Saccharomyces cerevisiae S288C: one gene and its partners. The protein of the gene in region 1 binds, or shares a complex with, the protein of each later gene. Each region holds a gene or a part of one and is shown on either strand. Other genes may lie near its edges.

The links. Proteins that work in one complex are often made in the same cells at the same time.
Region 2: DEP1 (region 1) and ASH1 share a complex: the UniProt entries of both Saccharomyces cerevisiae proteins name them as parts of the RPD3C(L) complex.
Region 3: DEP1 (region 1) and CTI6 share a complex: the UniProt entries of both Saccharomyces cerevisiae proteins name them as parts of the RPD3C(L) complex.

Annotation. Positions count from the first base shown.
Region 1 is NC_001133.9:125,447-130,987, forward strand, and holds DEP1 (Rpd3L histone deacetylase complex subunit DEP1), read left to right. Parts: upstream 1-3,823; coding exon 3,824-5,041; downstream 5,042-5,541. Other genes in the region: protein phosphatase 2A structural subunit TPD3, read left to right, coding at 1-1,340; bifunctional N-glycosylase/AP lyase NTG1, read right to left, coding at 1,457-2,656; SYN8 (syntaxin), read right to left, coding at 2,806-3,573; cystathionine gamma-lyase CYS3, read left to right, coding at 5,353-5,541. UniProt on the Saccharomyces cerevisiae protein: Component of the RPD3C(L) histone deacetylase complex (HDAC) responsible for the deacetylation of lysine residues on the N-terminal part of the core histones (H2A, H2B, H3 and H4).
Region 2 is NC_001143.9:91,771-97,556, forward strand, and holds ASH1 (DNA-binding transcription repressor ASH1), read left to right. Parts: upstream 1-2,728; coding exon 2,729-4,495; downstream 4,496-5,786. Other genes in the region: MTR2 (Mtr2p), read right to left, coding at 974-1,528; ornithine decarboxylase SPE1, read left to right, coding at 4,987-5,786. UniProt on the Saccharomyces cerevisiae protein: Component of the RPD3C(L) histone deacetylase complex (HDAC). Responsible for the deacetylation of lysine residues on the N-terminal part of the core histones (H2A, H2B, H3 and H4).
Region 3 is NC_001148.4:200,556-206,232, forward strand, and holds CTI6 (Cti6p), read left to right. Parts: upstream 1-2,865; coding exon 2,866-4,386; downstream 4,387-5,677. Other genes in the region: tRNA (34-2'-O)-methyltransferase regulator RTT10, read right to left, coding at 1-1,981; TCO89 (Tco89p), read left to right, coding at 4,693-5,677. UniProt on the Saccharomyces cerevisiae protein: Component of the RPD3C(L) histone deacetylase complex (HDAC). Responsible for the deacetylation of lysine residues on the N-terminal part of the core histones (H2A, H2B, H3 and H4).

The DNA.
Region 1 (5,541 bases):
TGAGAAAGAATATCCTGGCTTTATACTTACAACTCGCTCAAGATGATACTCCAATGGTGAAAAGGGCCGTCGGTAAAAACCTGCCCATCTTGATCGATCTGTTGACTCAAAATTTGGGATTATCTACAGACGAAGATTGGGATTACATTTCTAACATTTTCCAGAAAATCATTAACGATAATCAAGATTCTGTCAAGTTTCTGGCAGTTGATTGTTTAATTTCCATCTTGAAATTTTTTAACGCTAAAGGTGATGAGTCTCACACTCAAGATTTATTGAACTCTGCTGTCAAATTAATTGGTGACGAAGCGTGGAGGGTACGTTACATGGCTGCCGATAGATTTTCAGATTTAGCCTCGCAATTCAGTTCCAACCAAGCATATATCGATGAATTAGTACAACCATTTTTGAACCTTTGTGAGGACAACGAGGGAGATGTTAGGGAAGCTGTGGCTAAACAAGTTTCTGGGTTTGCCAAGTTCCTAAATGATCCTTCAATTATATTGAATAAGATCTTACCTGCTGTGCAGAATTTGAGTATGGACGAAAGTGAAACAGTGAGATCTGCTTTGGCTTCTAAGATTACAAATATTGTATTACTGTTGAATAAAGATCAAGTCATTAACAATTTTCTTCCGATTTTACTGAATATGCTAAGAGATGAGTTCCCTGACGTTCGTTTAAATATCATTGCCAGCTTGAAGGTTGTCAATGACGTAATAGGAATTGAGCTGCTATCAGACTCTTTGTTACCTGCCATAACAGAATTAGCCAAGGACGTGAATTGGAGAGTTAGAATGGCTATAATTGAGTACATACCTATCTTGGCAGAACAATTAGGTATGCAATTTTTTGACCAACAGTTAAGCGATTTATGTCTTTCATGGTTGTGGGATACTGTTTATTCTATCAGAGAAGCCGCAGTGAATAATTTAAAAAGGTTAACGGAAATATTTGGCTCTGATTGGTGTCGTGATGAAATTATTTCAAGACTGCTCAAATTTGATCTACAATTACTGGAAAATTTTGTCTCGAGGTTCACAATACTCTCTGCTCTAACCACTTTGGTGCCCGTGGTATCGTTAGATGTCGTTACTGAGCAACTATTACCATTCATTTCTCACTTGGCTGATGACGGTGTTCCAAATATTAGGTTTAATGTGGCCAAATCCTACGCTGTGATAGTGAAGGTTTTAATTAAGGACGAGGCCAAATATGATGCATTAATTAAGAACACAATTTTACCCTCATTGCAAACGCTGTGTCAAGACGAAGATGTTGATGTAAAATACTTCGCTAAGAAAAGTTTGGCAGAATGTCAAGAACTTTTAAAAAATTGATACTAGTTCAAATATATACATACATACACATATGTACACTTGAATGAATAAAAAGTATACATATTAACAACTAGGCCTGCTTTCTTTTCTTTTCTTTTTTTTTTTTTTTACCACACTTAGTCCTCTACTTTAACAGAAATATCATTTTCCAGTTTGACCATAGTTTCTTCAACTGTTTTCTCCTCGTGTTTAACATTGATTTCCGCCTCCACGTTCAGTTCACGTTTTCCTTCCAGGTATTTCACCCACTTTGGATAACTCATGATATTTTGCTGGATTTCCTTGTACAATTGAGACTGCAAATCCCAATCTAAGGAGCTTCTGGGATCATCCGGTGGCAAGAATTGTAACATGTCACCAAGGTTCCTCGATTTAGTGATTATTTGTCCAAATCCAACCAGCAACCCATTTATTTCTGTCCAAAGCCCCTTAGGCAGCCAATTTTGTAATTGAGTTCTTGTCTGATCTGGAGTCTTGCATTTCTGCGCATCTACCCATTTCCAAAGCTTGGTCAATCTATCCACGTGAACGTCAACGCAGATACCTTCAATCTTGCCCCATGCCTTTTGTAATGTTAGATAAGCCATTTTGGGCCCTACACCGGGCAGGCCCAATAGCTCATTAATCGTAGCTGGAACATCACTCGAAAACTGATCTTGAAGGATTTTGCAGGTTGACAAAATATACTTGGCCTTCCTTGTGTGGAACCCAACTGAATGAATCAATTCGTCTAATTTGGTCTCATTGATTTGTAAAACGGCCTCTAATGTCATACCTTCTTCGCTGTGCAGTTCGTCTATACAATACCGCATTATGTTAAGCATTGCCATTGCGGTAACTTCATCTTTTGTTTGCGATGATAGCATCACCCCAAGAAGGACCTGTAATCTGTAGTCCCTCGGTGATATCTGCTCTTTCGAGATACCACACTTAGAGGCAACCGTTACAGGAATGGATGATCCACCAATTATATCGACGGGGGCTAGAATCTTAGATCTCAGTACTCGCATTCTAGCGTATGTTTCTTGAAACTTGTAAGGGACTTTCGTCGAGGCCGGAGTGACAAGGATCGAGGGGTCCAATGGTGTGGCCCACCTGTTGGGCACATTGCCGTTTCTAACCACAATCCATTCGAAGTACTGCTTATTTGGCAGCGATTTAACCCAGTCGATATCCACGGGTTGAGGGACAACCTCTTCTTGTTTGATTTTGGTCCTTTTCTCCGGTAGGAGTTCTGATTCTGGCCCAGTTTCAGTCTTTACCAGCGGTCTTTTCCTCAGAATTGCCATAGATGAGTATTTACTGATCTTTTGCATATTTTTTTTTTTTTTGGGCTATAAAGTATATATAGATACAAATATATGATGAATCATTAAAGAGGAGGTTATTACTAAGTGAAAGAAAAAGAAAAAAAAAAAGATCAAAACCAAACTTCGTATTCGAGCCTAAAAAACAGAATATAATGTTATAATACTAATAGAAGCAACAGGAGCACCACTATCAGCACAAGAATAATCACGCAGTTGCCGTTATCCTTGAACCTAGAATTGTTAAAGCCATGCATGGACCGAGAGGCCCTGTTCAAATTCCTACCATTATTATCAATCAGGTTTTCTAAATCAACCAGCAGCGAGTCGTTCTGAGAAACGATCTCATTATTAAGGTCCAGCGAAATGTCATGAGTCCTCCCAATAGACTGAGACAGTGCGCCCAAGTGGGAATCTTGCTCTAACAACTGCTGTTGCTGGTTAATAAATAGTTCTTGGTTGGAAACCATGGGTTGTGGTGGCTGTGGCTGTGACTGTGACTGTAACTGCGATTGCAATGGTTCATCCTTGTATGGAGTATGCGTCGAAGGCAGCGGCGACTCCTCGTCTTGTTCATCGTCATCCTTATACATGACCGTAAGCTCGTCATCATTCTTGAACCGCACTTTTTTCAAAGACTCTTTGGACACCTCATCAGTATTTCTTGCCACCTGCTGTTGGAACCTATACAACTCCTTGTCAACCGCCGTATCAGGAATTTTGTCCAGTATGGTATTGTATCGGGATATTAGTTCATCATTGGGCGCACACTTCTGCAATAACTCCAATATTGAGCCCAATTGCCGTTTCAAAGTAACGTTATCGTTTGAGGTCGGGGCGAGCTTCAACACCGACACTAGCCTTGTTCTTTCTTCGACCAGATCAGAGAGCTGGTCCAGTTCATAACCCAGCTTCAACACATCCATACCGTGTGTGCTTACGCATCTATTTGCTGTCGTGAGATCTGTCTCTATGCTTTATTCGTTTTCCATTGTAAAGTCTCAGCATTTATTTCTTGTTCTTTACTTGTTTTTGCCCTTTCGGGTGATCAAAGTCGTGCTGGGAAATTTTATTCTTATAAAATGATTTTTAGAAATAATAAACTCATAACAGTGCAACGGCAAAGTACAAGGGAAGGAAGCACAGAAGCAAGAGGAGGCGCATCGATCGTGGCAGATGAGTCAGCAAACACCACAGGAAAGTGAACAGACCACAGCGAAAGAACAGGACCTTGATCAAGAGAGCGTGTTGAGCAACATTGACTTCAATACGGATTTGAATCACAATTTGAATTTATCGGAATACTGTATATCCAGTGACGCAGGAACAGAGAAGATGGATAGCGACGAGGAGAAGTCGTTGGCCAATCTGCCGGAGTTGAAATACGCTCCCAAGCTATCCAGCCTGGTGAAGCAAGAGACGCTCACCGAGAGCTTGAAAAGACCACACGAAGATGAGAAAGAGGCGATAGATGAGGCCAAGAAGATGAAAGTGCCGGGAGAGAACGAGGACGAAAGCAAGGAAGAGGAAAAGAGTCAAGAACTGGAAGAGGCAATTGACAGCAAGGAGAAGAGCACCGACGCCAGGGACGAGCAAGGGGACGAAGGTGATAATGAGGAGGAAAACAACGAGGAGGATAATGAAAACGAAAACGAGCATACAGCACCGCCTGCGCTGGTGATGCCCTCCCCCATCGAAATGGAGGAACAGAGGATGACTGCGCTGAAGGAAATCACCGACATCGAGTACAAGTTCGCGCAATTGCGCCAAAAACTATATGACAATCAATTGGTGCGGTTGCAAACGGAGCTGCAGATGTGTCTGGAAGGGTCACACCCGGAATTGCAGGTCTACTACTCGAAGATTGCCGCGATCCGTGACTACAAGCTACACCGAGCGTACCAGCGACAGAAGTACGAGCTTTCATGCATCAACACAGAAACAATCGCTACCAGGACATTCATTCACCAGGACTTCCACAAGAAGGTCACCGACCTGCGAGCCAGGCTGCTGAACAGAACCACGCAGACCTGGTACGATATCAACAAGGAGCGCCGCGATATGGATATAGTCATCCCAGATGTCAATTACCACGTCCCCATCAAACTTGATAACAAGACGCTGAGCTGTATCACGGGCTACGCCAGCGCAGCACAGCTGTGCTATCCCGGCGAGCCCGTGGCAGAGGACCTCGCTTGCGAAAGCATCGAGTACCGCTACAGAGCCAACCCGGTGGACAAACTCGAAGTCATTGTGGACCGAATGAGGCTCAATAACGAGATTAGCGACCTCGAAGGCCTGCGCAAATATTTCCACTCCTTCCCGGGTGCTCCTGAGTTGAACCCGCTTAGAGACTCCGAAATCAACGACGACTTCCACCAGTGGGCCCAGTGACCGCCACACTGGACCCCATACCACTTCTTTTTGTTATTCTTAAATATGTTGTAACGCTATGTAATTCCACCCTTCATTACTAATAATTAGCCATTCACGTGATCTCAGCCAGTTGTGGCGCCACACTTTTTTTTCCATAAAAATCCTCGAGGAAAAGAAAAGAAAAAAATATTTCAGTTATTTAAAGCATAAGATGCCAGGTAGATGGAACTTGTGCCGTGCCAGATTGAATTTTGAAAGTACAATTGAGGCCTATACACATAGACATTTGCACCTTATACATATACACACAAGACAAAACCAAAAAAAATATGACTCTACAAGAATCTGATAAATTTGCTACCAAGGCCATTCATGCCGGTGAACATGTGGACGTTCACGGTTCCGTGATCGAACCCATTTCTTTGTCCACCACTTTCAAACAATCTTCTCCAGCTAACCCTATCGGTACTTACGAATACTCCAGATCTCAAAATCCTAACAGAGAGAACTTGGAAAGA
Region 2 (5,786 bases), on another chromosome or scaffold:
CCGATTTATCATGCCAAAAAAAATTCACCGTGGGTTCTAGAAGTGCCCTTTGAGGATTGTAGCCACTCTAACCCACACGGCCTCCTTACTAGCTGACTAAGGTGACAAAACCGCAAGGACTGGAAAGTCGCCACTCATCTGAAAATTCTCAAGTTTTTCACTACTGAGTTTATGCTTTCGAATTTTTTTGTTCGGTAATAGCACGGCGGTTCGATTCAATTCCGCCGCTCCGAGCGATGCTCCGCAAAACTCAGTAATAAGCTTTCTGATGGTTCACCCCTTTTTTAGCACGCGGGGTGTAACTCAACAGAAAAATGTGCCATAGAACAAGACTAGGCAAAAGCCAAGGAGCGTTTGCCATGAACTTCCACAAGTAAAGCTCGTTGACCAGTTGATCAGTTGAGGGGGGTACACACGACTAGCGCTTTCAGATATTAAAAAGTTTAGATGTAGGTTTTAGCGGTAACAGTTATATAAATCGTGTTTCTTCTCTTGATGAAACAAAAAAATGCTAGAAAAACTTTGTCGTTTCTTACTTTTGGTGCGCTTTGCAGTTTTCGTGGCTAGACTTAGAATCATTTCTCCTCAGATTTCTTGATTAAAGTTTGGTGCGAAGCCCTACTCTAACATTGGTGTTCTTCTTTTCATTCACGCAAGTTAAGTCCAGGAAGGTGAGCAAATGCTCATCCTTCTGTTCATGCGTGACGGCTGAATTATCCTTATCTGGCGTACCCGTGCAGCCGTTTCCGTGCCTCGGTTCCTCCGAGATATCCTTAGGGACCGCCAGGGACCATGATTGCGTCAACTGTTGTCACCGCTCCAGAGGATCCTCTGTAACCTTTTCAACCATAAAAATAGAAAGGGCACAGGGTTGGGGTATTTGAATTTTTTTTTTGGGTTTTTTCGTATTACTTATTACTTACCTTCTTTTCTATATAATTTTGTTTTTCCCTGGTAGAGCGGAATCTTCCCACTAAATTTTTAGCAGAGAATCCTCGGGTTTGTAAACCATGTTATAGTTAAACCCCGATATTACACCATTAAAATCATTTCTAAATATGCGGTCGTCGATGATCAGCTGCAGGGAAATGCCAAAATATGGACCCCATAGAGGTCTTGGCTTGTTCATATCGTTGGGTCGATTTCTGTTCCCAGTGTTATTTGGTTGAATGGGAACAGTCGCGTCTTGCCCCATCTTGTCTCTGCCGCTTTCGTCGAATCTGACTTTGCAATTGACGTTGCATATCAACGTGCCGGATCCCGGAATAGCGTGATAGTCTACTCCTGTTAGGGCATGTTGTGTTTGTACGACCTGGTTTTGCCACATTTGCAGAAAAACTGTTGCTTGCGCGAAGGGGGTAGCATTAAATATTATTCTGCAGTTGTTTGGATTAAAAAGCTGTACGAATTGGGCCAATTTGTTGGAGTCCGGATCATCCAAATGCGCTAATATCTTCTTCGTAAATGTGGCCGTTATTTGTGCTTGATTTGCGTCATTCATTACCATAGTATTACTATTGGTGTTCATATTTCTGTTATTACTGTTATTAGTTTGGCGTTTTGCCTGACGATCAGCCTGGTGGGGCCAAGTATATACTATAAAAACAGGTTAGTTACTTGCTCTATGCGTTTGCGCATCCTCTTTTTACTTTTTTTTTTTCAGTAAAGCCTAAGCATAAATCGTTTTATACGTACGACACGTTCAACTTTTCTTGGTTAGTAGTGGCAATCTCTGCAATACATACAGGGAGTCATGGTCTATCATCTTGTCCAATCAAAGAAGCATCGGTTCAGATCGAGCAAACTGTAGGGAGAAAGGAAAGTAGAAATGCAGAGTGTGCTATATGTCCAATCTCGGTTTTGTAGTTTGGATGTCATTAGAGATCTACCACCCAACCGGCTGCTTTCATGTGGAACAGAAAAGAAATCGGGGCGCTTCCTCTTCTGTATTCCTTTAATTAACGTTTTTATTCAGCCATCTAACCATCATACCCCCATACGGTAACAAAACCTCTTCTAAGAAAAGAAGTCTCTGCTCCTCCGCCATCTTATTTTTATTCGCTGCGCGCGTTTATTGTCGCATCGCTAGCCAGCAAAAAGTTGGTTGCCTTTTTTTACCTAAAAAAGACACATCTAACTGATTAGTTTTCCGTTTTAGGATATTGACGCCAAGCGTGCGTCTGATTTCTACGATATGTCTCTAATTTTGGAAGGGCCATTTTATTTTTGAGGATTGGGCTGATCATTTTCCTTACGTGGATTGAGCCAGCAATACAGATCATTATTAAACTGTTTTGTACATGATGTTAGTATATAATCGTAAAGCTTTTCTAATATGTATACCTTATACATGGAACTCCACAGAACTTGCAAACATACCAAAAATCCTTTATTCTTGTTCACTCATTTTACATCAAAAAATAATATTTCAGTTATTAAGGAAAATAAAAAAATAGATTAGAGAAGCATTTTGAAGAAATAGTATATTCTTTTATTGAACCTAAGAGCGTGATATTTTTACTCGAAATAAAATACGAAAAATCTATACACTCATCTTTCCGACTACTATTGGCTCCTGCTCAAAAAAAGAGGGAAAAAAAGCTCCAAAATTCTATCTTTTCCTATCGCTCCTGTCCTATCCTTATTACGTTCATTACTATTTTAATACTATCCATTCTTTTATTTTCAGTCTAAAAAAAACATTTCTCATAACGGGAAAAGCAAAAAAATGTCAAGCTTATACATCAAAACACCACTGCATGCATTATCTGCTGGTCCGGATTCTCATGCAAATAGCTCCTATTATGACAATCTTTTATTGCCTTCATTTTCCAATTTATCCAGTAATATCAGCAGGAACAATATCACAACCGATAACAATATAAATTCAGCAAGTCCTAGGAAGTATTCGTTTCATTCGCTCAATGTGTCGCCAATTCTTTCCCCAATATCTTTGGCTAACGAAATACTTGGAAAAAAATCAAATACTGCACCAGCATCGCCACATCATATGGATTACAATCCAATTTCCTCATTAACACCAGGCAATTCACCAGAATTCAACAAGGCAAGCTTATCTCAGATTAGTTTTACAAATCCATTGAACTATGGGTCTGGCTTAGGTTTTTCCTCTAATTCACAACCTCGACTACCATTGTTAGACAGGCTATCGTCCGTCTCTTTATCTAAGAGACCGGAGCGCCCACAACAAAGCCTACCATCACTAAGGCATCTGCAATTATTACCCAGTCCTCTTTTACAAGAAAACGCAGCACGCTTCCCTGATACATCAAAACGTACATCTAATTGGAAAACTGATCTTACCCATTGGTGTAAGGATACAAACTATCAAGACTATGTTAAAATACGCGAAGAAGTGGCTCATTTCAAGCCATTAAGTATACCCAACTTAACTAATAATCAAAATAATGATAGTTTCAATTACGGCAAGGAATTGGAATCGACTAGGTCGTCCAAGTTCCATTCCCCGTCTAAGGAATCATTTGATCGTACCAAACTAATTCCTTCGATTCTAGAAGCTAAAGATCAATTTAAAGATCTTTCCAACAATGCATGGAGTATTACTCCTCCCGTCACACCGCCGATGAGTCCACCAACCAATAGAACCATGGAGCGCACGACGCTTAGAGGAGTAGAGGCCTCTTTTTTTGAGGGGAAATCCAGCAATAACGATTCAATATTCAATCCAATTATTAGTGAAAAATTGGTTCAAGAAGTTAAACATCAAAGACAATTACGTGGAAATTCATTTCCCATGCCAAATGCCAGTCACAAAAAGACGAACAGTTTCAAAGCTTTGCAAATAAAAAAATTGCTTGCGAATAGAGACATTCTATCGAACAATTCCAAATCTAATGTAAGGAAACCATCTAAGAACAAAATCTCAAAGCAAGCATCAAATGTTTTCGGTAACACTGCAAGACAATTGGTGATGAAACTCGACAACGCTAGTTACAGTTCTGTCTCTGCATCTTCATCTCCATCTCCCTCCACACCGACGAAAAGTGGCAAGATGAGATCAAGATCATCCTCACCTGTGCGTCCCAAGGCATACACTCCAAGCCCAAGGTCACCCAATTATCATAGATTTGCTCTCGACTCTCCCCCTCAAAGCCCTCGAAGATCATCAAATTCAAGCATAACGAAAAAGGGAAGTAGAAGGTCCAGTGGCTCATCACCCACTCGTCACACCACAAGAGTGTGCGTGTCGTGTCATTCGAGTGATTCGCCCTGTTGGAGGCCATCGTGGTCGCCAAGAAAGCAAGATCAGCTATGTAACTCTTGTGGTCTTCGATATAAAAAAACACATACAAGATGTTTGAACGATTTATGTCGTAAGATCCCCACAAAGGGTGAAATAAACATTATGAAATCCAATGGAATAGACAAAGAATTCGTCCCCGAACGCAACTGCGAAATTGAAGGGTACCGTTGCTTATTTTGTAATTACATAACTGAGACAGTAGAGAATTGATACATGGATAACTGAATCTCTTTCAACTAATAAGAGACATTATCACGAAACAATTGTACATTTCTCTCCTTGTCTGTGCTAAATAAACTACAAATAAAAATTCATTTTCTTTCATTTTCATTCGACACGCCGCGGCATCTTCGTTTTCTTCACCGATTAATTTTAATCTGCGCCGTGCAGATATTTTCGCCCATTTCGAAGTGAAATCATTCTAATAACTTCTCCTGCGCAATAGATTGGTCATCCTGATTTTTATTCTGAAATCGAAAATGAAAAGCATTTATTGCACTGAAATAGCGGAACCTGCTTCTAATAAGCTTAAAATTCAATCATAATAGTGTAGTTAATAGAAAGGACAGAAGAACTTTTCGTTCCTTGGTTTATCATCCAGGTTTCAGCACGGCTTTTGTTTCAAGTTTAAGTAGGTAAGATTTTTTGATTGTTCTACAACTTTTTCATAGTAATCAAAACCTTTGAATTTCAAACTTACTATGTCTAGTACTCAAGTAGGAAATGCTCTATCTAGTTCCACTACTACTTTAGTGGACTTGTCTAATTCTACGGTTACCCAAAAGAAGCAATATTATAAAGATGGCGAGACGCTGCACAATCTTTTGCTTGAACTAAAGAATAACCAAGATTTGGAACTTTTACCGCATGAACAAGCGCATCCTAAAATATTTCAAGCGCTCAAGGCTCGTATTGGTAGAATTAATAATGAAACGTGCGACCCCGGTGAGGAGAACTCGTTTTTCATATGCGATTTGGGAGAAGTCAAGAGATTATTCAACAACTGGGTGAAGGAGCTTCCTAGAATTAAGCCATTTTATGCCGTCAAATGTAATCCTGATACCAAGGTTTTGTCATTATTAGCAGAGTTGGGCGTTAATTTCGATTGCGCTTCCAAAGTGGAAATTGACAGAGTATTATCGATGAACATCTCGCCGGATAGAATTGTTTACGCTAATCCTTGTAAAGTAGCATCTTTCATTAGATATGCAGCTTCAAAAAATGTAATGAAGTCTACTTTTGACAATGTAGAAGAATTGCATAAAATCAAAAAGTTTCATCCTGAGTCTCAGTTGTTATTAAGAATCGCTACCGATGACTCTACCGCTCAATGTCGACTTTCCACCAAATATGGCTGTGAAATGGAAAACGTAGACGTTTTATTAAAGGCTATAAAGGAACTAGGTTTAAACCTGGCTGGTGTTTCTTTCCACGTCGGTTCAGGCGCTTCTGATTTTACAAGCTTATACAAAGCCGTTAGAGATGCAAGAACGGTATTTGA
Region 3 (5,677 bases), on another chromosome or scaffold:
AAATATCTCTGATTTCCCTTCCGTGTACACCATTTTCTAAAGTTTCAGGCACAATGGAGTTGTAAATTTTCCTTAAATGAAATCGGGATGCCTTAATATACATTAATACGTGGCCATCAGTAATTTTTGCGAGATTCCACAGACGATGGGAACCACCACAAACTTCACTAGCTAGTTCATAACAGTTGGTTTCATTGTAGAGATAAAACAAGCTGGACTTGAACCCATAAGTAATGTATTCACCTTTTGAATTAAAGAAAGCGCCCTCCAAGAAACCTTTCATCATCTTATTAGAATGCAAGACCTTATAACTTAGTCGGTAGGGACCCTCTTCCAAACTGTTTTTCGTCAACTCAATAAATACATAATAGCCATCCCTATTTGTTACTGAGAAGACCGCAGAGTTGTCTTTATCTTCTACAAATTCGATTGAGGTTGTAGTGTCTCCGGGACTTAATCTCCTAATTATGAAGGGCTCCTCGCTCTCATCAAGTAAGTTGTAGATTACTAATGTACTAAAACGTGAGCCGACTAAAATATGATTTCGGAAGGAGGTCAAACATGAGGAAGAAAAATTTTCCGGCTTATTGAAACAGTGCTTGCTTTTAATTTTTAAGTTCTGAAGGCTTATTTCCAAACATACAAACTTCTCTCGAGGATTTGGGGATTGTAAAGTCAATAGGAAGGAGTCATCATCGTATTCTGTAACGAGACAGTTATTTGTCTTAGAAAGCTCATCTAAATGGAATTCTTCGGTCTCAATTATGTCAGCGCTATCTTTGCTAAATTTGATAAGAAGGATGTCACTTTTATTATTGGAAAAGACAGCGATATTTTGCGTTTGAATCCCATTTGTAATTGGATACGAGTTGAATTTTTCATTTGTTAGTAACAACTTCCATTGTTTCGTGACATCACTGTATTTAAGTATTTTACCCAATGAAGTGATAGCAATTACACCGAATGAAAACCATTGAAATCCCTTGATACTTTCATTCTTTTCGAAAATATCGCCACATTGCTTTGCGATATCATCTAGACTGAACGATGTTTCTTCATCGCCGTGTCTCTTCAGTTGAAGAAGATCAATCAGCTTTAACCTACCATCATTCCCGGAGGTTACAGCTATCATTTCGTCGTCTTTCACATCAACGCCCCATATACTCTTGATTAAATGTACTTCGTAAACGTTAGATATGGATAATTCGGCAACGTTTTCTCGTGATTCGATAATGTTCCATACACGGCATGTGCAATCTTCAGAAACACTTATTAGTTTTGAATCATTATCAAAAAACATTAAATTCCATATTCTTGCCGTATGGCTCCAGCCAACAGACAGCTGCTTGCCAGTTTCTAAATCCCACAGTCTAATTGATCTGTCGTCAGAGCAACTGGCAACATATCTTCCGTTGTTGCTTAAATTAACATAAAAGATAGAACCTTCATGACCCAGTAAGTTATGAATTTTTGTCTCCGAGAACAGGTCCCAAATGATAACACCGCCCATTACAGTACCAGCGTTAACATATACTTTATCCGGACCGAAAACTTTAATTATACCGGAATATAGAATAGATCTTTCTCCCCCAAGAGACTTCCTAAAAAGAACTTCACAATTTAAATCACAAATTAGCACTTTATTATAACATGTTAACAAATATATTTGCAAGTTGTCAAAGCTGAATGTAGCACCGGTAATCCAATCTGAGTTAATCCTTTCGAAATCCACCAATGACTCTTTCTTTAAAACGTCTTCAAGTTCCACTATTGTTACTGATCTTGCACCATAGGCCAAAATTTTCCCTTCACTAGAAAGGCTAAGTCCATGAACTTTATTGTAGTGAAATAGCCTACATTTGTTAATCAACGTAGCCGAATGATAGTCATAGACATGGATGAAAGGCCCATAACCAGCTAGAACATAATCATTGTAAAATTTAACACATAGCGCAGGACCATAATGAGACAAGTCCTTCATTTTAATCACTTATTCTTCTTCAATGAGCAACTTCAATTGGCGGGAATGAGAAGCTAAATAACGATGAGGTCCGCTAGCAGAAGTTTTTTCATGCTCATATTTTTCCACTTTTTTTTTCTTACATTTTTTTTTTCAGCAGCGTCGTTTTTTGTGAGACGCCGATGTGTATGCTAGGCTTAAATCTATCATTCAGACCCCAGTGTAAAACATAAGCGGTGAAAAGTACGTAGGGTAGTATACAACTCACCAAAGCACGACTACGTGAAAATGACCCTGAGAGTATCATCAATGTTATCGGCTGTATAAATAATACACCAGAACAAATTCCTCTTAAAGATGTAGGCAAGACCAGACTCAGTTTCTCTGAGCAGTACCTTCAATTTTCAATTTTTGATAGATGTTCGTCACTAATATTTTTTTATTGAGTTAAGTTCACCCACTTCTGGCACTTCTTATAACCTTGATAATTAAAAAGACCTCGGCGGTTATTTTTTATTTTGAGCAGTTATAAAGGGCATTACCCTCATCATCTTGCGGAAATAGGACGGAGCACGTCGCAGACAGGCTTTAACGTAATCAATTAGTTTTGAAAAATTTCTCCGCTATGGGTAAACTAGGTAAACCGCACAGCACAATCAGCTGCATTTTCTATTTTCAATTTTCTATTGGTGGCTTTTCACTGCATGATCAAAAAATAACGTTTTGTTGATTAGTTTTTTCTTTTTTGTTCTTGTTGGTTTTCGTATATGAATTTTATGTAACTGGGTATTTACAGGGGTACAAAGTTCACAACAGAGACCATCAATAGTTTGTTTCCTTCGAAGTTTACTTTGCGTAACCTTACTAAAAGATAGCATAAACATATAGGAGTATAGAGAAGAGTAATGGAATCGACAGCAATAGTGCCTAAAGGCCCTGTTGTGGGTAGTGAAGATATGGAGAAAGCGGAAGTCATTGCTAGTGGGTCCACAGACATTATATCAACAACATCAACAGCGACAACAACGGCGGCGATTGGAAGTGTACAGGAAGAAAGTGTAAAACAAGAAGATGTTCCTATGGAAGGTGGAGAGGGGGAAGTCGAGGAAGAGGAAGGCGAAACTCGCTGTATCTGTGGAGAGCTCGATACTCCAGATGACTCCGGATTTTTCATTCAATGTGAGCAGTGCAGTTCCTGGCAGCACGGTTATTGTGTGAGTATTACTCAAGACAACGCACCTGATAAATATTGGTGCGAGCAATGCAGACCGGAGTTACATCAGCTCTTTACCACAGATACTGGCGAAGCAAGGTCAATCTATAAACCTGTGCAAGAGAAAAGGAGGCAATCAAGAAGGAAGGCACGAAGTGCAGCTGCAAGTAAATCTCATGCCGCCAATGAAGCAGAGAAAAGTCCCAGAAATACCAGCAATACCGATGATAACGTCGACGATATCGGCGACGAAGAAGATGAAGTAGAAGATGAAGCTTCGGCTGTAGCATTAGCCAAGGACGGCAACACGAGGTCAAGTAGAAGGAGGAGGAGGAATTCAATGGATGATGCTTCTACCGATCAGTATTCACTGGATCCTGGAGATAGTGATAAGAAGCTACTGGATAGAAAAAGGGCAACTTTCATGGCAAGAGAAGAAAAGCAATATCAAAGAATGCTTGAAAAAGCCTTGAAAGAAAGCAGGAGGACATCACATCAAGAAGATCCTGAAAGTTATGAAAATGATGCTGATATATACCAAGGTGATACCGACAATCACAACGGCACCACTCGATTACAAACGGATGTTATGCTAACGGAAGGCAAACCGGACTCGGTAACAAATGATGATATGAAAGAAAGCCTACGACCATCGAAAGAGCAATCAATGGAAAAAACAAATGATGTGGAAAAAGAAGCTAGTCAAGAAAAGGAATCTTCTACGGGTTCGGCGCAAGACACTGAGAAAACTGATGAACCCATCCTACCCCTAACCTCAATATCTTCTTCTGAGGATGATTCAAGGAAAGCTAGTTCGAGGGGTTCTAAAAGAGTTTCCAAACCAGCAAGAAAGGGCAACAGAACTCGTCGAAGCAATACAAGTTCAGACACCAACCAAAATAGAAGGAGTGCTGATATAGGTACCGACAAACCAGTAAAGCCCAGATTACCCCCTCAAAGGACCTCATTAAACGAAATGAGAAGAAGGGTATCCGCTATTTTGGAGTTCATTTCTAGAACTCAATGGGAATTGAGTGAAGATCAGTCTGATCGAGAGGAATTTGTACGATTCGTGGAAAACCAGCATTTCGTAGAAAAAGTTGATACGATTTACAACGGTTATAATGAAAGTCTATCAATGATGGACGACCTGACTAGAGAGTTACTACTATGGGAGAAAAAATATTCAAATAACACTAATGCCATTCAATAAACGCAAAACACTGCAATATTATTCTCAACCAAAGTATAACTGTAATGAGGCGAACAAACACATCTATACATATATATACATCTATATGGATATAAAAACGACTAATTCAACGTTGTTTTTATCAACCGAGCTTACTCTTGTACGGGTAACCGCAAGGATAGCTAGTTGCGGATGGTATAGCGATTTGGCTGGCACGATGATTAAGGAATCCAAACATCTAATGGACTAGCACATTCTATCGATTTACGGGTCAGGTAAACATAGATATTGGGATATATCATATATCCTTACTGAGTAACTATAATTATGGTTCATCGAGGAAGGACTTTGAAGTCAGACACTGATGTAACATCTCTTAATGCGTCAACAGTATCACACCAGTCAAAGCCATTTAGACAGTTTTCGACTAGGTCGAGAGCAAAGAGTAACGCAAGCTTCAAAGGTTTGCGTAGAGTTTTAACACATGATGGCACCCTGGATAATGATTATTTTAATAAGCACAACGTTTCTCAGAAATGCAAGAGTTCTGATGCACTTTTCAGAAAGCGAACGATTAGTGGGTTGAATATGACAGCTTTAACAAGAGTAAAGTCCAATCAAGGAAAAAGATCAGCATCCTTTCATAGTCCGGTGCATAATACGCTGCTCAGTCCAAAGAACAGCAGTCATTCTAATACTGGAACTGCTGGTTTCGGCCTGAAACCACGAAGAAGTAAAAGTACCCAATCTGTTCTGAGTCTTCGAGATGCGCAAGAATCTAAAAAGAGTGAATCTACTACTGACGAGGAGGTGGAATGTTTTTCGGAAGACAACATTGAAGATGGAAAGGTGAATAATGATAAAGTAATAGCCGAGCATGTTATGCCTGAAGAAAAAAAGAATGTGCAGCAATTAAATCAGAATGAATTACAATCCCCGGATTCAATAGATGAACAAGAAGAAGATAAATCAGGTACTGATGGAAAGGAAAATCATAGAGCTGTATCCTTACCATTACCTCATTTATCTTCCAATAACTATTTCGGAGAATCAAGCCATTCTATAGAACATCAGAAAGATGGAGAAACATCTCCAAGCTCAATTGAAACAAAACTGAATGCAACAAGTGTAATCAATGAAGAGGGGCAATCAAAGGTGACGAAGGAAGCTGATATTGATGACTTGTCCAGCCATTCTCAAAATTTGAGGGCCTCATTGGTTAAAGCGGGCGATAATATATCAGAAGCACCATATGATAAAGAAAAAAAAATTCTTGATGTTGGTAATACCTTAGCTGCACATAAAAGTAATC